Linked DNA regions of Drosophila melanogaster. The protein of the gene in region 2 interacts with the protein of the main gene of each other region in a pairwise test. Each region holds a gene or a part of one and is shown on either strand. Other genes may lie near its edges.

What was found.
Region 1: the proteins of CG6429 (region 2) and CG8997 interact in a two-hybrid assay, tested with the Drosophila melanogaster proteins (one large-scale study listed by BioGRID).

Annotation. Positions count from the first base shown.
Region 1 is NT_033779.5:13,840,917-13,851,550, forward strand, and holds CG8997 (uncharacterized protein), read right to left. Parts: upstream 4,410-10,634; 5' UTR 4,347-4,409; coding exon 4,277-4,346; intron 4,213-4,276; coding exon 3,500-4,212; 3' UTR 2,999-3,499; downstream 1-2,998. Other genes in the region: CG33307 (uncharacterized protein), read right to left, coding at 1-119, 180-458, 528-563; CG33306 (uncharacterized protein), read right to left, coding at 2,001-2,656, 2,712-2,790; CG7916 (uncharacterized protein), read left to right, coding at 5,862-5,967, 6,038-6,203, 6,259-6,850; CG7953 (uncharacterized protein), read left to right, coding at 7,046-7,190, 7,336-8,084; CG7968 (uncharacterized protein), read left to right, coding at 8,502-8,701, 8,765-9,317.
Region 2 is NT_033778.4:16,867,700-16,877,679, reverse strand, and holds CG6429 (uncharacterized protein), read right to left. Parts: upstream 4,666-9,980; 5' UTR 4,605-4,665; coding exon 4,361-4,604; intron 4,292-4,360; coding exon 4,056-4,291; 3' UTR 3,925-4,055; downstream 1-3,924. Other genes in the region: CG8910 (uncharacterized protein), read left to right, coding at 1-679, 749-1,170, 1,247-1,338, 1,699-1,824; CG6435 (uncharacterized protein), read right to left, coding at 2,949-3,205, 3,263-3,439, 3,795-3,852; CG6421 (uncharacterized protein), read right to left, coding at 4,832-5,247, 5,305-5,374; CG6426 (uncharacterized protein), read right to left, coding at 5,937-6,169, 6,240-6,410, 8,078-8,159; eEF1beta (eukaryotic translation elongation factor 1 beta), read right to left, coding at 8,601-9,189, 9,289-9,368.

The DNA.
Region 1 (10,634 bases), on a different chromosome or scaffold from region 2:
TCGCTCACGAACTTGGTGGATATATTCTGCAGCTTCTGGCCGGTCAGGAGTGTCTTATATTGCAAGTCGGTGAGTCCTGTCTCGGATTGCCGATTAATCAGCAGTGGAGAGTCCTTGAACTGCAAAAGGGATATTAACAGTTTGTTTATTTGATGAATACCAATGTAGGTATCTATTACCTCTTCGAAGATATTCTGCCACAGCTCATCCTTTCGGTCCAGTTCCTGCTCATCAATGGCTTGGCTCAGGCGCGTTATATAAAGACTGATATCTTGGAATCGCTTGGTCTGGGGATTCAGAGCGGCCTTCACCTCGGAGAAATAGGCGATTTGTGATCGGAACAACGAGTTCAGCAGGTGGACTGTCTCCTCCTTGGCCTGTCTCTCCAACTCCCTTTGCACTGGATCATCGGAGTTTAGGAGTTGTGGATTTGTGGGCTTGGCAGCCACTATTAATAGCTGTTCAATTAAAGACAGTTTTTTTTTTTAGTATTTTAATAAATTTGGAGAACTTAACGCATTCCTAACCTGGGCTACTAAAAGTAAAGGAATATATTTCAGCATCGCGTCTTATTGATAAAAAATCGAAAGCCTCCTCACTCAATGAATGGTGTTTTCAAACTAATTGGTGGGAGCAGCAGGCATGTTTTGATTAGCAGTGGGATGTTCGAATCTCTCGGGTGCCTGATAAGCTCCCAAGGGTTTCTCCTGCTAGGAATTTTGTTTTGCTCTTTCCCGATTTCGCAGATGATAATAAGCTTTTCCCAACAAATTTAGGAATTCGATGTCATCTGAATTGCGTTTCAGCTAAAGTTAGTGAAACACGTTTTTAGATTCGGAGAGCATATTAGCCATTGATCTATCTTTATTCGCTGTCAAGGTCTGTCTAGCTGTCTGGGTGGTATGGCGCTCGCATGTTTTTTGTTATCAACAAACATAGGAATAACCTTGACAAGGGTATGGTAAGAAGAAACATACATAGGTTTGCGTACACAAAACAATTAATTTGGGAACTCCGTTGCAATATGTTCTCATATATTATTTAATTTTATTAAATACCTATTTTTACAGACGCCGAAAGTTTTTCTATATTTGTATGCTTTGTACAGACAAGTTGTTTATTACCTATTTTACTGTTCATTCATAACTATTCAAATTATTTGACATACATACTTTTATGTATTGGCGCAGGTATAGTAGTTCTTAACTACTTGTAATGTATTCTGCAAACTACTGATATTTTTAATAATTATGCTAGCAATGCTAAAACGCTAAAATAAGATTGGACACTTATTTTTTACAAACTCTACGCACTCACTTTACATTTGACATTTTTAAGTTATACATTTTTTTACCTTACACGCTACTAGAAAGTATGCAGTGGAATTTAAACACCTCATTGCTCAAATAGCTCAGCCAAAAATAAGCCGATGGCAAATATAAAGGTCTACCGCAAAAAAGTAGGCAACACAATTGAGCTATATTTGGATTGATCTAAAAAAAGGAATTTTTATTAAATGTGGCGTATCACGAAACGGTAAAAAGTTGGGCCAATCTGATAAAATGTAACTTGTAAAGTTCACTTCAAGCATTATAATTCCCTTCAAAAAGACTCCTGAAGATGATCTTCTTGACAATATAACTTGTAACTCCAAATCAAGAATTTATACTAAACAGAACTTCTTGAGTAAAATTTCCTTTGTTTTGAAAACAATACTAATTGTACACAAGCATTGAACCAATTGAAATATGTTGATAAATTAGAGTAAAAGTAGAGTTATAAAAAACTACAGAGCTAGAGGGCCTAATCATTTTTAGCAAAGGAAATGCTATTATAAGTCTAATCTGTGAGATTAGATTAAGCAAATTGCGTGTTTTCCCTGCCCTGGTGGGCAGTGAAATAAACCAATCCGCACATGGTTTATGGCCCGCACGTTTTTGACCACCGAAAATTGGATTATGCACTTGTTTTGGATAATATGTAGAGTTTATTTGGCCTAATTAGTTTCCTCCCGTAATAATCGCAATGATATCACTCAGAGTTCGGTCTCCGATCAGATCATTGCAAATGGGAGTAGCCTGTTCGCTGACCCAGGCGGCAACAAAGTCGGTGTTTTCATTAATCGTCAGGGTTACGAACTCCTCGATGATCTCGTTCAGTTTGCGATTGAAGATTCGGTACTTGGACAGGTTCTCGATCTGTGAGTTGACATTGCCGACGGAGGGGTAAATCAGGACATCCTTCACACGAAGCTGGGAAGTGAACACGCCCAGGGAGTAGCTAATTCTACCCTGAATGTTCAGATCCTCGAGAGCAAAGAAGGCGCCACCGTTGCGCTTGATGCGATAGCCACTGCCCATGTCCATCTCGTAATCGGTGGTGAAGTTAAGGCTGGCAAAGTTGATGTTGAAGGTCAAGCGACTCCTGATCACGTCCATGTTCATGGTGATAATCTCGTACTGATCGAGCCCCTGAAGTTCAAAGTTCTCGACTCCAAAGGTGCCACTGAATTCTCCCGAGTTGATTTCGAACGACCTCTGCGCCGCCTTCATGGGTGCCATAACGGGGATTCCAAATCTCGGGCTACCATTTTGCAGGACGACCCTGAATGCCTCCAATCCGTCCACAATTACGCTGGAGAAAGAGCGTCCTTGGGCTGAAAATTAACTATGATTATTAAATTTTCCCTAAAATTTTCTTCATATTCTCACCTGACAAAGGTTCGGCAACTTCGGCACCTTGACAGCTGGCCAGGGCCACGATAAGCGCAATCAGGAATGCAGACTTCATTCTTAGCACAGAACACTAGTTAACCCTTTTGGCAATCAAAATCCACTAGTCGAAGCTTGCCAAATCCATTCCTCTTATATAGGAAAATGACCATTGAGATAATCTATCGGTACACAGCACAAAAATATCAGTGTCTAGATTAAAAAATTTTAATATTAGGAAAACTTCTATGTACAGTGAATAAACAGTGAATGCTTTCTTGGCTTATATTTACAAAAACATGGTTGAAATATGGAACAATTTGTTATTTATTCTTAAATAATTAGTGTTTATAAAGGTTTAAAGAAATATTAGGGGCATTCCTCTCATATCAAAATTATTGTTTATTGACACAAAATGGTGAGGTATTGAGTACAGTGCTCTAAGATATTCCCTTTGATATAAAAATCATATTCTGAAAATCGCTATATCTTATTATATTATTTTGTATGAATCTACATTTTTTTTCTGTGCATGTGAAGTAGCTTTATTAATCGGCAAATAATTTGGCAAAGTGTTTTATGACAGATAGGACACAACTTGAGATTAGACCGTCTTTGAAATATAATGAAAGCTGATGGATGTTGTAAATATTAAGCTTTTTAAAACATCGTTTAAATTTCCCAATGCAATGAACAAAAAAAAACCCACCGAAAGCCAGTCCCGCAAGAAAAGAGCCAGGTGACGAATTCTTGATTCATAAACGGTTGTTTAATGACCGATGATTTGTTTACCACTCGAACTCGGGGGGAATGCAGGCCTCCTTCTCTCCACCCTCACCATCACCACCGGCACCGGAGATGATCTCGGCGATGCTGATGTCGTCCAGAACGCTGTTGACGGCGGGCAGGGCAATACTCTCGATGGTATCGGCAATCAGATCTTCGTTCTCATTGATGGCCAGCTCCACGGCCTCGGCCAAGTACTCATTCATCTTCTCGTTGATGCTGCCATCGCCCAGGATGCCCTCGATCTCGGAATCAACCTCACCCAAGTGGGTGCGGACCTCCAATGACTTCAGCTTCAGGTTGCCGCTGATCACGCCGAGTGAGTACTTCATAGTGCCCCAGATAACCATATCCTTGATGGCGAATTTGGCATGTCCGGCACCGATCAGATTGATGGTAAATCCGTACTTCTTTAGCAGCACACTCAAATCGTATTGGGTATCCACGTTCACGTCGCGGAAAGTGAACTTGTAGGTCACCTTGCTGGTGATGGCGTTGACCTTCATCTCATCGATATCAAAATCATTCAGACCGTTCAGGCGGAAGTGATCAATGGTTCCCTGAGCCTTCAGCACGCTGCTATCGATGTTGATATCCTGATGGTCAATTCTAAGAGGAGCCAATGGCGGCAGGCCGACACTGGTAAAGCCACAGGGCATCTGCTCCTTAATGCCCTCGATCACATCCACAATCGTGCTGGAGATCGACTGGGTTTCTAGAGAATCAAATGGATAGGTATGCTAAATATTTGGGCATTGGAAATCATCTGGAATACTCACCAATGGGCTGGCCCATGGAAGCCGCACTGGCAACGGCCACAAAAGCCAAAATAGCCACGAAGATTTTCATTATTGCTTTGACTGAGAGTCCTACCGACTGATCGTAGTACCTACGGTATTTATACTACTCAGTCGTCCGGTCGCACGAGTCGCTTTTTATAGACGATCAACATTTCAGGTGGGGTTGTGATAAGGTGGCTTCGTACTCGTGAACGATTTGATTAGCCACCGGGCGTTCAATCGATGGCCTATTGCTGTCTTATCTCGGCCAACGATTCCCCGGTTGGCAAATTTTTTAATTTTAATGATTAGTTATATATACATACATGGGGGTACTTATCCTAAGGAAATGATCAGATTTAAAAAGACAGTTTTCACTAAAGTACAAACATTGCCTTCTTGTGGAGGAGTGTCAAGATCAAAGTCTATTTGGGGTGTGTCCCCGCTTTGTTATGGTTAGAAGGCTTCAAAAAAGTGTGTTTTTCTAAAACGTTTTCTAAAAAAGAAGGTGTAGGATTAGTGGTTGACTTGGAAACAAGATTTTAAAATCATTAGTTTCGCGATTACAGAGTACTCATACATTAAATGTATGGTCTTACGAAAACTTTCCATCAATCGATATTTTAAGGTCATGCAGGTGTTGAAGCCAATAGGAAACATTTTAACAAAGTAATTATCAAAATTGAAAACGACTACCAAAAATTTAGCATGATTATAATCTTCTAAAGAAGTCTGTTTGGAATTAAAATTCTCCATGCACTTCTGCGGATCTAAAGTCTGCGAAAAGTTTGTTTATTGATTAACAATCAAGTGATTTTTAAGTGCATTGAGTGATTTATGAATGATATCTCGACTGGGGTATTTAAAGGTCTTACGAATGGATCTATTAATAAAAAAATCCAGACGATTAACACCTGATGGCTAGTCAAATACTCTCTTAACGAATTATTGGCTTTAAAGTTAACGCCAGTCCTAGCCCAATATGTTTATCAATAAGTAGTTTACCCATTGTGTTAGTTCCCCTTGTAAAATCGTAATCAGAATAGCAATAAATCACTTTTTAGTACGCCTTTAAGGTTCTAAAGAGTACAAAAAAGCCACTGAAGCTCTGAAGACAAAAGAATTTACCCCCACTGAGTGATACGAATCGGTCATCCAGTGTAATCCGCCGACACCTGCATGGAGTGGTTGACGCAGTTTTACCCCCGGTAGACCAGTTATTTGTGTATAATCCAGATCGCAATGATAGGCAATATATATTCTTTAAGTGATATTGACAATCGATTGGCCAATTGGACGTCGAGATTAGGCCAAAACAAGCCACTCAGGCGAAACAAGTGCTCCCTTTTTTTACAAACCACTTGCCGAATGATTTGATTCCTTCGTTTTTAAATCGGAAGCCTATCGTGAATTGGGCGTTATGTTCATGGCAGCTCCGCTAATCAAAAGTAGCGATTAGCATTTGTATTTGTTAACCTGGTTAAGTGATCCCTTCCCTTCCCCTCGGCTTGCCCTTCGAATCCGCTAGCTTTGCTATAAAAGCCACTGACCGGCTGGGACAATCAATCAGGTGGCTGGCTATACAATGAAAGCTATCGTTTGTGTTTTTGTGACCCTTTTGGCCTGCGTAGCGGCCTACGATGTGGAGCTGCTCACCGAGGAGCAATGGGACCAGCTGGTGGCGCGTAATCGTAAGTGTCTTAAGCCATCCATCACCTGACCAAACAGAGGACTAATTGCAATGTGATTCCCCGCAAACAGCCGCCAAGCCCGATACTCAGGGTCTGATCTTGAACGGATCGGTGAAGAAGGCCATCAATGGACTGCTGAACCAAATGCCTTGTGGTTGGCCCCAATATGGAATTCCACCACTGGATCCCTACACCAATGCTGATCTCCGCATCCACTTGGCCGAGTCGGTTGTCGAGTGAGTTATAATTAATTGGAGTGATTGTATCAGTGGATCTAATAGTCATCCTTAGTACCCTGCTGCAGTTCCTGCGCTTCCGTTTCGATGGCCTGGAAGGCATGGAGATCAAGAAGATGAAGGTCAGCTACACCTTTAGCAAGAAGGTCAAGTTCCACTTCAACTTCCCAGAGCTGAAGGCCAGTGCCCACTATTTGGACACCAACACCTTTGTGAATCTGCTGAAGGAACTGGGATTGTCGGTGCGCTACGAGAGCTCGGGCCCATTGTCCTTCAGCCTGCAGAATCTGTCGATTCAGGGCGAGTTCAAGTACAAGATGCCCTTCATCTTTGGCTCCATCAAGATCTACAAGTTCAGTTGCGCCGTCGGCTTGGGCGGTGTATCCTCGAACATTGGCGGTGTAATGGGAAATGGAAGGATCAATGAGTTCATCAACGACATGCTCGACAAGGAGATCCCGGCCTTCATCAATGGCAACCAGGAACAGATCAGCGCCAAGATCGAGGAGATCTTTGTGCCGCTGGCCAATGCGCATCTCACGGGTCACAAGATCTGGTATCTCTTTAGCTTGCTGTCCGCCACCACTGGCAGTTGCAATCCCACTCCCGCTCCCTGGTTGGCCATTGAGTCCAGGAAGCTAGACTAAGGCAACACCAGCCAATAAAAAGCAATTCAAACGAGTCCACGATCTACGTTTTAATTAGTCCCCATTCCGTCTGCTATCTTCGCTCAATATCACCTTCTACGCGTTATCGTCTGCTGGGGATTTTGGTATATAAGACTCTGGCCGGGGGTTGGCCATTTCAGTAGCAAGTTCAGTTGCTAAAAGTCACAATCAAGCATGCGTTTCCTGGTAGTCTTAGCCTGCCTGGTGGCCGTTTGTGCCGCCGGCACTCTGCCCAACGAGGTGGAGCAGCGTCTGTTGGAGCTGGCGGATCAGAATGGTGACATCGATCTGGTCGCGGAGCCCCAGGAGGGAGTTGAAGGTGAGACTCGGTGAAACTTTTCAATGAATCCTGGTATTTAATTGATTCTAATAACAAACGTAATTCGTGGCAATTAGTGGCTTTCTGAAATATTATCGATTTAAATTTAAATATTACCAACTCAAAATCGAAACCCATTCTTTAGTTGCCCCCCAGTTTATTGTGTCCTGGCAGGCGCGTCGCTTCATCCGCAAGCTCCAGAAGCAGATGGAGTGCGGATGGCCCCAGTATGGCATTCCCGTGCTGGCTCCTCTTCGCATCAACGAATTCGACCTAGACTACAAAAAGGGCATTTTCGAGACCTTGAACCATGTGTTCCGCCTGAAGATCGCCGGTCTGAATGACTTCAATATCCAGAAGTTCAAGCTGAACGTGATCACCAGCAAGATTACCTTCGATTTTCTGTTCAAGAACATCGATACCACCGCCCAGAAGTACGACACTGATACGCTGATCGATGCCCTGCGCCAGTTGGGTCTGTCCGTGGAGTACGAGGGATCCGGAGAGCTGTTGTTCGATTTGGTCAACCTGCGTATTGCTGGCACTCTGAAGTACAAGCTTCCCATGCTGTGGGGTTCCGCCAAGATCACCTCGCTGAAGACCACCATCTCGTTGGAGTCTGTGACTTCGGACATCACTGGATTCATGGGCAACGGCAAGATCAACCGCGCCATCAACAGCCAGCTGGAGAACATCGTGGTAAAGGGAATCAATGGCAACCAGGACGCCATTTCCGAGACCATTGAGAACGCCATCGTGCCGCGAGTGAACAAGATGCTGAAGGGCAAGGACTTCTGGACCGTCGTGGACCTGATCCTGGCCAGCAGCGACGGTGAGAGCGAGGACGATCCGATTGTCGTTGATTGCGATCCCTCCGCCGATCCCTGGGCCTAAACTATGGGACAGCCGTGAATAAACACTTGTCGATATATTCAATTATTGGTCTACTTTTGGGGTTTTTATTTGTGGAATCCCATTGGACTCTCATTTCCTGCTCCAATATCCACAATCAATCTATAATTATATGCTCTGAATTCACTGAATGTGGTTTGCCTAAACAAAGAAACCTTTTATAGCTATTATAATTGCGGTTGGACTTAAAAACAGAATAACTTATATTTATTATAATGTTTTGATACATTTCTGACTCGAAACGAATGTGGGAACACATCGATTATCTCTTTTGCACCTGCCTAATCCAATCTTATCTATTTTCGCTACTTAAGTGGCTAATCGTTATTTGTTGATTAGGCAAGGGAAAAAACTACTTGTACTGTTTAAACAGTTAGCAGTTCCTATTTGGCACTCGCGATGAGAACTTCTTGTGTAATTTTTGTGGCCCTTCTGTGCTGCTCCTTGGGCTCCGCCAAGCTCTTCGATGATGAGCTGCGCGAACTGACGGAGTTCCTGCGTTTGCAGATGCGATGTGGCTACCCGGCCAGAGGGGTTCCCATTTTGGCCCCGGCTCAGATGGCCTACAAGGAAATTGGCATCAGAACTGAGAACTTTGGGTGAATATAAACAAGAACTTCACAAATAGGAGCTATTCTTAATGGAACCATACTGAACCGCAGTTGCAATGGAAACTTCACCGATCTGATTATCGAGGGATTGGATGGGTACGAGTTCTCCAAGCTGGAGTGGAACAACATTTTGCATACCATTAAGTTCGACATGAACTTCCCCAAGATTTCCCTGAAGAGCACAAACTATAAACTAAATCTCCTGGCTCGTCTATTTGGTGCCGATTTCTCCCTGTGGGGTGACGGTGCCCTCAGTCTGGAGTTGATCAATTTCCGAGCTTACGGCAGTTTCGTTATTCGCCCAAAGTCGGCCACCAGTGGTGTGTACGCCAAGAGCTGGAAGGTTAACTGGGAATTGGAGGAGGCTAAGTCCCAGACCACGGGCTTTATGAACAGTCGTCTGTACACGAAGTTCATCAACGATCTGATCGTGGAGTATCTCGATATCATGATCAATGACAACCCCACGGAAGTTTCCCAATTCATGGAGGAGCTCATTGTTCCGCCCATGAATTTGGTTCTGGATAATCTGGCCTGGTATGAGATTACCGCTATCATTTTGGGCCTGGCCGAGGGAATTTTGCCGGTGGAGCCAATTTGCTGAAGTGCTGACAAAAACGATTGCCAGGTGTTCCCTGTGCTTAAATGTAAAAATAATCATTAATAATCATTTGATAAGAAATTAAAAGGAACTACTTGTATTTTACAATTGTTTTATTGTTAGAAACTTTCTACATTCATAGCTACAAGATCTAAAATCAGTATAATAGAGAGCCTTTAACCTAACAATAATTTGTAGGTGACTAAATATCTATTTAAAAAACAGTTTCCTTAATTATAATTAAAGCATTAATAAATCATTTTTTTATTCTACTCTCTTTACAGGTAAGCTCGATTAGATTTCCCGTTGATTGGCAGTGAGTATATGAAATATTCCCGGCTTTCATCATCAATTACTATTTTTGGGGACCTCCATTAAGTGTTCTAATCACTTTCGACCATAAATTATTGTTGATCTTTGTGCGCCGTGAATTCCCTCAATCGAAAGCAAAGTCCCTAATCGGATTGGGAAATGAGAAAACCGCTGCCGAGCAGCAACAGCAGGACATCTCAATCGCCGGGCTGAAAAGCGAAGCACGAGTCCTGTCGCAGCAGGACTTCAACGGGTGGTCCTTTGATTTTCGGTCCAACACTTTCTAGCCTCAGATTTGCGAGTGGCGTTGCCAGCCAGCAGCTGCTTGATGTTTTTTTTTGTCACTGTTTTTTTTCATAGACTTTTCCGATTTCGTTGAGATTATTTTTTAGATTGCGGTCTAATGTCATCATTTGTTGTTAATTAGTTCAGAGTGCTGTAGTGTGAATCTCCTGGATTTTTTTTTGTGGTCCCACTCAAAACTCTCTGCTCAAAATCCTCGGCATTCTTTCACCGCAATGGAATTCGTTTTGGCTCATTTCATTTGCAATTTACGAGCCATCTTTCTCTTTTCTATGTGTGTCTTCAGGACACACCTTGCGTCTCATAATGCAAAAATAAACAAAAAGCCGCTTTGGGTTTTGTCATGAGTACGTGCTCGGTGCTCGGTGCCCATCTGTGGGATGTCCTGCTGGTTGTGGCATTGTCTGAAAGGAAGTTTTACGACCTACCAGACAGTCTGTTGCATTGAGCATTGTCCTTGCCTACTAGCAGACTTTTTGGCCACATTCCCATAGCCCATAGAAACCTAAAAACTAGCGAAATCTACCCAACCCCATCCATTTGTTGACATTTACGAGGCAATTTTCCAAAAGCCATTAAATTCCTAAGCTGAATATACCAGTGCTCCGGGCATCGCTTGGCCTAGTTTGATTAGCCTCGATTTGTGTATGACCACATAAAAATCTACTGAACTCATCTCATTTTCAATGAGACACTTCAGTGTTG
Region 2 (9,980 bases):
CGCACAGCGGCCACCATTCGTTCCACCAGCCCACGCTGCACAAGTCGGCGGTGGGACGGCATCACCCGCATCATTACGCCGCCCGAGGATCAGCCCATGCTCGAGTCTCCCAGTCGGACAGCCTGTACTCGATGAGCTCGACGGGATCGGCGGCTTCATCGGCCTCCGGTTATTCACACTACTCCAAGACGTCTTCCATATCGAGCAACGGTCCCTGCTCACCGGCCTCGCCGGCCGTGGCTTCCAGCTCCAATCACCTGGCACCGCCATCGCCCACCACCCACCATCACAGTCATAGTCTGGCCTCACCCACTCCATCGGGATCATCGGGCAGTTCCCTTTCACCGCGGGAAAATGGAACTTCACATTCGCATCATGGTGGGTGTCCCATTGGTTGCTCCGGTGCCGTGCCAAGAAAACCGCTTCACACGCTCACCAATAGCTCATCCACGCCCATTTCCGGTTCATCGTCGAGCGGAAGTGGGGGAGGAGGAGTGGGCAACGGCAACGGTAGTGTACCAAGTGGAATGATGACGCCTACGCATACGTATCCTGGCCGAAGGCATGTAAAGAACCGACTGATGGACATCCAGAACCGCCTGCCGCCGATCAAGGAGTTCCGCAGTCCGGCCAAAGTGCCGCATCCTTCGCCCGTGCACGTCAGCAATCCCAGATTTCGGTGAGTGGAATACCAGGATCAAATATGTATTTATATATGATATAAATGGTTATCGATGTCTCCTTGCAGTTACTCCACTTATACAAAGTCCAGTGCCCATGAACTGGCTCCGTTGCTGCGTGAATCCGGATCGTCGCCTCCGCCACGTCGCCCCAGTCCGATGAACATCCAGCTGAGCTGCTCCGCACTGGCCCCGCCCCCTTTGAAGGCGGGCGGGGCAAAGATCTGCCCACTGACCTCGAAGAACTCGCTGCCGAAAAACGCTTACGTGATGCCCAAGGATAAGAAGCAGCCAGCTTCTGTTCCGCAAGGGAAAGCTACTGGTACTGCCTCCAAGTCGACTCCACAAGGAGCAGGCTGCTCGAGGGCATCAGCTGGATGTTCTGCTGCCAATTCAGGATCAACTGGAGCTGGATCGGCTAGTAATCCCAAGCCCTCGTCAAGCTCTTCCAGTCGCAGTTTTCCGCTTTTCTCCGCCGCCAGTAATCAGAGTGAGTTTTAAAAAGTGGTTTTTATAGCAAAATCGCTTACTCGCTTATCATATCACCCAAAAACTTTGAATTCCAGGAGAGAAGGCTGACAATAAGAAGAACGAATCTGTTGAGCGCAAGAAAAAGGAGGAAAAGCTCAAGCTGAAGGCTGAGAAGGAAGCCAGAAAGGTGGGTGAAATTGCAGAGAATCCGTTGTACTCGCGTTCCTTTTTTGTTAGCAGGATGCATTGTTTTCCCCCACCCTTAAGAGTTTCTGAACCAGCCTGTGCATATTTGCATTGTTTGTAATTGGCCTCGTTCCCCTTTTTTCTTTTTACCAACTGTTTTGGAAAAGTTTTTCATTAATCGCGGGCGAAAGGGCTTAGGGAAATTGGCGGGGAAATGCTGAACCTTTTGTGCCGGCAAAGCATAAATTTCCAAACTTATGAGCACGGCTGGCTCATAAAGCGCTAACAATTCCGATTTTCTTGTTTATGATTTCCACTGCATGCAAATGCAAGCCAAGTTTATTCACTCTCAATTTTGCAGGAGGAAAAGCGACTGGCCAAGGAGGAGGAGCGTCTGGCCAAGCTGCACGCCAAGGAGGAGAAGAAGCGGGGCAAGAAGGAGGCCAAGGAGCTGCTGTTGGCCAACGATGGGAACAGCAAGAAGTGAGGGAAGGGCACCCAATTAGCCAGCAAAAACGCATATTTCCAGTTGCAATTCTAGCCATGTAAGATCATCACCAAGTACCCGTGTAACCGTACTATATCAAGCCAGATAGGATCGGATGGAATCAGACCTCCAACTCACACACCTCAACACCCCCTACCCATATGAATCGAGCTTGATTGTAATTTTATGAACGTAATTTGTCAGTTAGGCCTCAATCATTTCCATGATTTTTTACTCGAAATAGAAAATAGAGAAGCCAAATATTTAAAAATAGTTTCTTAAAAAAAAGAATTCACTGTAGAATCGTGAAATTTAAATCACCTTCATTGTACTTGTGTCTGCATATTTACTTCTTTTGTGGGCGTTTTTGGCATTTAATGCTTTTAATTCAAAAGAAAAACTATGCCAAACATTTGTATTTAAATGATAAACCTTTGGCAAGCACTGATTTTTTCACTAATATTTTGCTTTCATTTCGTTTATAGTCGTAAGCAGAAACTTCCACTTAGTTTTCATTACGTTCACTGCCCACTTTCATAACTCTTCACCGTCTAGAGATATGATAAGAATAGGATGATATTGCTGCCTTTCGTTCGACATTGCCTCAGTCTCAGTCTCAACATGAATCATTACCAATTAAAAAGGTTGTTGAAACAATTTCAATTTGAACAGATTCTGATGAAAATATCCGTAACAGTCCTTTTTACTTTCAAGTTTCCATATACTAGACTACCAAACAGAATACCCCTTAATAGAGAGAACCTCATCTCGAGATATAGAACCATGACCACTGAATGGCAAACCAATGTTAGAGCCAAGCTTTAGCAAACGTAAGCCAGAATCTGAATAAATTAATAACTATGTACTACCAGTATGTTAACATGTTTACAAAAAGCGAGAGCATATTAAAGTAGTTTTCATATACCCCTCTATATATATTATATATATATATCTGTATCTGTAACTAAATCTATAGAATCCATACCTATATTGGAAACTGTTCAAATGCAAACATAAGCAATGTTTCGATGTATGTACGTGTATATGTGTTACCAGGATTGTTTTAAAAACAGACAAATATATCCCCGAAAAGTGGGAAACGATGAAACCCAATAAAGAATCAATTATGTTGAAACCGTTTCCTGCTCCTTGATGATCTTTTCCTCTGCCATCCGCTCCTTGGATTTCAGACATCGATTGAAGACTTTGGCAAAGATGTAGGGCAACTCTTCCTGGCACTTCAGATTGCCCAGTTTGTGGAGTGCTCCGAAATCCAGGCAATCGATGTGCTCGTCTCCATTGCAATCCTGGCCATGTTTGAACATATAATTCTGCACCGTGTTCGCTGCACAGTGGGGCTGATTAACGCAGTTCGTAAAAGCTGAGAAAAGGACTGGGGAATTGAAATGGATCTATTACTTGGATATCCTGAACATACCGTCTTCGGAGAGAGCTGTATCTGTGGGCAAAGTTAGTTTGCCCGCCTCCACCCAGTAGCCCCAAGTGATTCGGAATATACCGCAGGCCCCATTTACGCAAATTGCGGATGCATTGCAGCCACTCATTGTTTCGCATAGACAGTCTAGGCAATCTTCCGTGACGGGTTTGTTTTGCACTAAATACACAGAAAGAAATACTAATCAATACATACTTATTTCATCAAAAAAAAAAAGAAAGAAGATAATTTTTGTATAAATGTGATTTTTCTTAAGAAGACTTTTTAAATATCAAAAAAGCATTATATTATGGAGCTAATGAATAAATTATATTCAGTGTACGAGAAAAGTGGAAATGGGCGGATGTTACAGCCGGCTTTATAGTATAAAGCTATTCCTATAAACTGGCTTTATTTTACAGCGAACCCAGATGGATTACCATAATTATAGAGCACCACGTCAACTACGTAACACAGTGGTTATAAGGTACTATCGCTACGGAATTGATGGCTTGTGTAGCTGGGTAGCACTTACCCTCATAGCTGGAACCACTGTACACCAGTAGCCACAAACAAACTAGCAATCGTAGCATAACTGAGCTTTGAATCCGATCGAGAATCGAGAACCCGACCTGCAAGTGCCGTGTTGACCAAACAACTGATCTCAGTTGACTCCAAGCCACTAGTTTATTAATCGAAATTAACGCCTATATTAGCTATGAGTTATTTGCACATAAATTAAACGGACTCTTCCTCATAAGTTAGTTGCTAAATACTAGAAAAAGTTGCATTAGGCCTAGCTGGAATTCTGACGCTTGTCATTCCGCATCGCGTTCCTCAAACATCGTTTGAAAATGCTCTCGTAGGTGTAGGGCATATCCGCCTTGCAGTTGAAGGGACCCATATAGTGAATGGCACCATAATCGTAACAGTCCTCCTTCTGATCATCGTTGCAATCCTGTCCGTACTTCACCATATAACTCTGCAAAGTATCGGCCGCACAATACGGATCATTGGCGCAGTTGGTAAAAGCTGAGTATATTGTAAATTCAAAGGTAAGTAAGTAAATGCACTAAATTGACAGATAAACGCAGTTCTTACAACTATCCGTCAATGGCGAGTCGCCAGGTATGGTCAATCTGCCTGAGTCCACCCACTGATCCCAAGTGATCCTGAAAATGCCACATGCCCCATTCACGCACACAGCCGTCGCGTTGCAGCCACTCAAAGCCTCACACATACAGATCAGGCATTGTTCCGTGATGGGTTTTTGGACCTCGGCTTGAACCCAAATGCCAACGAATGTGAGCCCGAGTACGAAAAATAATATATGTGCACTATGCATAGCTCGAGATGTGTATTCACTTCCGATTCGATGCCTTTCGCGATTGTTCAGCCACTGAAACGATTTCAGCAGTGACTACTGGTTTTTATTATCGAAAATGAGCGCCATCGAAGGTGACTAATTTCAGTTATAGGAAATGCACCGATCTGGTTTCCAATCAGCGGTGATTCCCGGGTAAATAAAAATATTAAGTTTATTAACATATATATATAATGTTTATTTTTTATTTACTCAAATCCCTCATCCTCGTACCTCTCGATGCACTCCTCGAACACACTCTGGAAATTGTAGGGCATGTCCGCTTGGCAGCCATAAGCCCCCAGTTTATGGATTCGAGCATAATCGTGGCAATCCATCTCACCATCATCATTGCAATCCTGATTGAACTTCTTCATATAGTTTTGCACCAAATCGGCGGCACAGTGCGGATCCTTGGCGCAGTTGATGAAAGCCTTTTCCGAATCGGGATGCTCTCCATTTACCGTCAGTTTGCCAGCATCCACCCAGTATCCCCAGGTGATGCGGAATATGCCGCATGCTCCCTTTTCCGCACTGGTGCAAATCGCCGTGGCATTGCAACCACTAATGGCCTCACAAATGCAGGTGAGACACAGCTCCGTTACCGGCTTATCCAGCACATGACCTGTTTACGCAATTTATTGTACATATAGCACATATATTTTTGGCGGAAAAAACGTACCTTGGCCTTGAACCAATGAAGGCGACAGCACCAGCAGCAAATATATGGAATATAGCAGGAAAACTCGCATTTTCCGGCTGGTTAAAGTAATAACATCCAATTCCTCTGCCCCTGAAACTGCGAATGGTTCTAGCGATTCCCATGAACTGAGTACTCAGTACCCGGTAAATGCGCCAATCTAGCGGGTAATACCGGTTTATAGGGCGCATCCACACAAAGTGTTAAGAATAGTTCTACTACATACCCCCACTCACTGACTCCCAGTTGAAACTTACAACAAAAAGTATGCTACACTGCGACTCCTAAATATTTTAAAGCGTGTGTTAAAGACTAGTTTAATTTTACTGTATTTCAAGCCAAGATGTAGAGAATATGTATGTAAGCAAGGAATGTAAAATGTTTTTTACACGAATAACCCTAACAAATAAGTAAAATTCATTACAATAATTATTTTTTTTGTCCATTCGAAATAATTTACTAAATTTATGAAACAAGTGTGAAGCACTGAAAAGTTAAAAATATTTGCTTGTATTGTCATTTATTCTGAATCGAATTCAAATGCATTGCCATAAATAATTAATTATTACATTATTTAAATTTAATTACAATATAAATTTAGCAAGTTAATGTGTTTATATGCTAGAGCGCACGTCGATCTGCTGGAACGAATTAAGGCAGTTGGTCAGCTGCGTCTGGTACTGGTAGCTCAGCTCGCCCTTGCATCCATAGCCGCCCAGCTTGTGGATGGCAGCAAAGTCGTAGCAATCGATGGCGTTGTCTCCATTGCAGTCCTGGCCGAACTTGGTCATGTAATTCTGGATCGTGTTGGCCGCGCAGTAGGGATCGTTCACGCAATTGGCATACGCTGCAGCGAGATTAATGTGCATCAGATGTATGATAAGGTTTATTGCATAGGTAATGGATGGGACACTCACCATCCTCCGACTGGGGACTCTCGTTGCCCAAGGTCAGCTTGCCGCCGTCGGCCCAATATGCCCAGGTGATGCGAAACAGGCCGCAGACTCCGCCGCCGCAGTAACGTGTCTGGTTGCATCCACTGATGGCCTCGCAGATGCATCCCAGGCACACATCAGTCACCGGCTTATCTGTTTCGGGTTTAAAGATCATTCAAATCAAATCAAATCAGTTCAGTTCATTTTTATTTTTATTTTATTTTCCAGATTAGCCTCAAAAGAGCGTTAGCAGTGCAGATTTGCCCAGATCATGTCATCGCTTTATTCAGAGCATTTGGTAATGTTTTGAATTTTTAAGAGTTATAACAAGTTGAAGACTTTGAAATTTTAGCAGCTCACAGAAAAAAGTAGTAGGAAACTAATTAAACAAAAAATCCAGTTGACCAATTTGGTTTAGGTGTCTTATCTTGAACTTGTTAAAAATTCTTTTAAAATTTCTTACGTTCATTATTATAAATTCCAACCGAAGAGATTTCCGTGTAAAATAACAACAGGTACTACAATAAAACTAATCCTAGTGTGTTATCTGTGTTTCCCCGGTGCGAGCGGGTTCATAAATTTCAAAAATTCAATAAAATTATAAAATATATCCAAGAAACGAAAAGCAATTCCGTTGCTTGCACGCCCATGAACCTGAAATCCATCGGCCTCACGTTCCCATCCCATTTTGTATCGAACTAGTTTTGCAACTTTCAATGGAAACATTGAAGCATCTCCGTAGAACAAAATCTGGCAGCGCGTAGGCGAGGATGAGTCAATTAATCGGCGTTATCAAGACCTTGTTCTTGTAATTAAATTTTGTATTTTTAACGAGTATCGGCATTTTGCCAATTTTGCGAAAAGATCGAAAGAAGCGTGAAGCACAGCATGTCATCTAGCCTTCTGGCTCACCCACACACACGAGCAAAACTCTGAGGTTTCTGAGTTCAGTGACCTATGCAAAGTAATCTTCAAAGGCATAAAAATTGGGTCAAGATTAAAGACCTTTTATATATTTCCACCTTTCTAAAACATATCATATCAGTGCATATTTTAGTTTATATAAACACCTTTTCACGGGGTTTTCCTGACCCAGAGATAACCCACACGCAGCAAATTGTCACGAAAGTGGGATTTTTTGAGGTCTAACAATGGAGTACCGATGTGCACCGCAAAATACTGTTCCGGATTCGGGGAAATCTCCAGTAAAACTACATCCTTTTCGCGAATAATGCAAAAATAACGACTGATTGATTTCTGCTAATTACCCATTTAGACAATTAATTTATTAAACAGAGAAGCAAAGAGTTCACTTCAAATTACTGCCAACGATTAATAGATGATTTTCAAACTTAATACCAATTAATTTCCGCCAATGTAATAGATGTATACTAATCGGAAGTAATTTCAATGGCAATGATGCGTTATTGAAAACTAACGATGTCAACGGCCCGTGTTTTAGATGATGGATGGTCGATTATGGAATCTGAAACCGATCAGAAATCCCCGAGTTTAAATGGACGTTTGTCAACCTCCAGATACTTGTCGTATGCAAATGGCGACAAACACGATGGATGGATAAATATATCTGGGAAATCCGCTCAAGAACGAAACATGTCTTGGCGCAGAACAAAAGACTCAAATATCTATACAATTGCTAATTAATGTTAATGAATGCAGACGATCAGGTATTTGTATATTTCGTGTTAAAAGCAAATCTCAGCAAATGCGTAACAAATACGTCTCGCGAACAATAACAAGAACGGAAATGTTCTCGCCTATATAATGTAAATATATAGTTTTCGATGTATTTAACTCACCCTGAGCTTGAATGAGGGCTGCGAATCCCAGACACAAAAGAGCGCCAATAGCCAAAGTGCAGCACAATTTGTTGGCAGCCATTATAAGCAGTACTTGTGTCCGAAAAATATTTGTTTGCAAATGCAATTTGAAAAGTCACTGAACAGTATCACAACTATCTGTAAACAACCGACCTCTATCGAGCTGCCCGATCAACTGAGCTGAAAGTGCTACGAGCTTCGCTTTTTTGTTGACAAAAGCTCGCCGAAAGCTTCAAAACGGAAGACTTAAGCTGAGAACTTGAGAGAGCCAGCAAGCCAACTAAAGAGATTAGAGATTTTTACCGATTATAAAAGTATACTTTTTGGTGAAAATTACAAAATTTCAATCATTATTCCAATAAAACTGATGTGTTTTTACAATCTGAATTATGATTGGCTTATTGCAGCTTTCATGTGAAATATTTTATTTAAATATGAAGACAACTATATTTGCTTAGTTCGCTTTGCTCAAGTTTATTGTTAATATAAGAATCTCAGATGTTTAGATCTTGTTGAAGGCAGCAATGTCGACAGACTGAACAAAGTCCTCGAACTCCTCGATCTTCTCCTGCAGCAAATCGATGGACACCTTGTCGTCCTCGATGACGCACATGATCTGCAACTTGTTGATGCCATAGCCGACTGGGACCAGTTTGGAGGCGCCCCACAGCAGACCGTCCATTTCGATGGTGCGGACATTGTTCTCCATCTCCTTCATGTCGGTCTCGTCATCCCAGGGCTTGACATCGAGGAGCACCGACGACTTGGCAATGAGGGCGGGTTTCTTAGACTTCTTGGCGGCGTAAGCGGCAACTCGCTCCTGCTTGATGCGCTCGGCCTCCTCGTCCTCCTCGTCGTCGGATCCGAATAGATCCACATCGTCGTCATCGTCGGCGGCGGGCTTGGCAGCAGCAGCCACTGTGGGCTTTCCACCGGCCAACTGGGGCAGAGGAGTACCCGACCAAGCGGCACGCTCAGCGGCCTCAAAGGAGGCGATGTGGCGGTACCAGCGGGCCACGTTCACATTGTCGGCAGAGGGGGCCTTGCCCAGAGCATCGAACACGGACAGATCGGCCTTGCTGGGAGTATATCTAATGGGAGTATAGTAATGGGTAGAAAATTATTCGATCAATACATCTGCCGACGTGGTGAGGTCGTACATAACCTCACATTTAATGACGCGTGCTTACCCGCTGATGTAGCTGTTGTCGGCCAGGAAGGCGTTCAACTCCTTCAGTCCCTGCGGGGTGGTCACATCACCGAATGCCATTTTAAATGCGTTTTTGTGGGGTAAATTCGCGTTTAACAAATCTGGAGCCGTGCTCTGCGCAACGTTGCCGACGAAAGAAGAACAGAGTGACCTTCGCGGGAAACGGTCTTTAAACATATAATGAAAATACTGACTTTTTCCTAGTATTTCAAGTAGTTGCAACACAGGGTGACCCGGAGTTTGAGTAAATATCGTTCAAATATACCATACATTCAAATAGATTTTTAACGCTTACTTGTATTTTTTTTAATAAAACATAAGGATTATAATTAATACCTTATACTTAAGCTAGCTATTGGCTACGTAAATTTAAGGCCAAACAATTACATTTAATATTCTGAAAAGGAAAAAAATTGTATAGAAATTGTATGCTTCTACTTTGTAACTTGTGAAAACAATATGCATTTCCTTGGGCAAATTCACACAAATTGGGAGCTTGGGCTTAATAGAAATTAAGTTTAAGTAGATCCTTTACTTTCAAATAAATTCATATAAGTCATTGAATATTTAATTTAACACAAATATACCAAAAGCGCGGACTAAAACCGTGAATATCTTATGCGCAGTGTTACCGTTGCAGTGAAAATCATGAGGGTGAAAAAACGCCTCCAA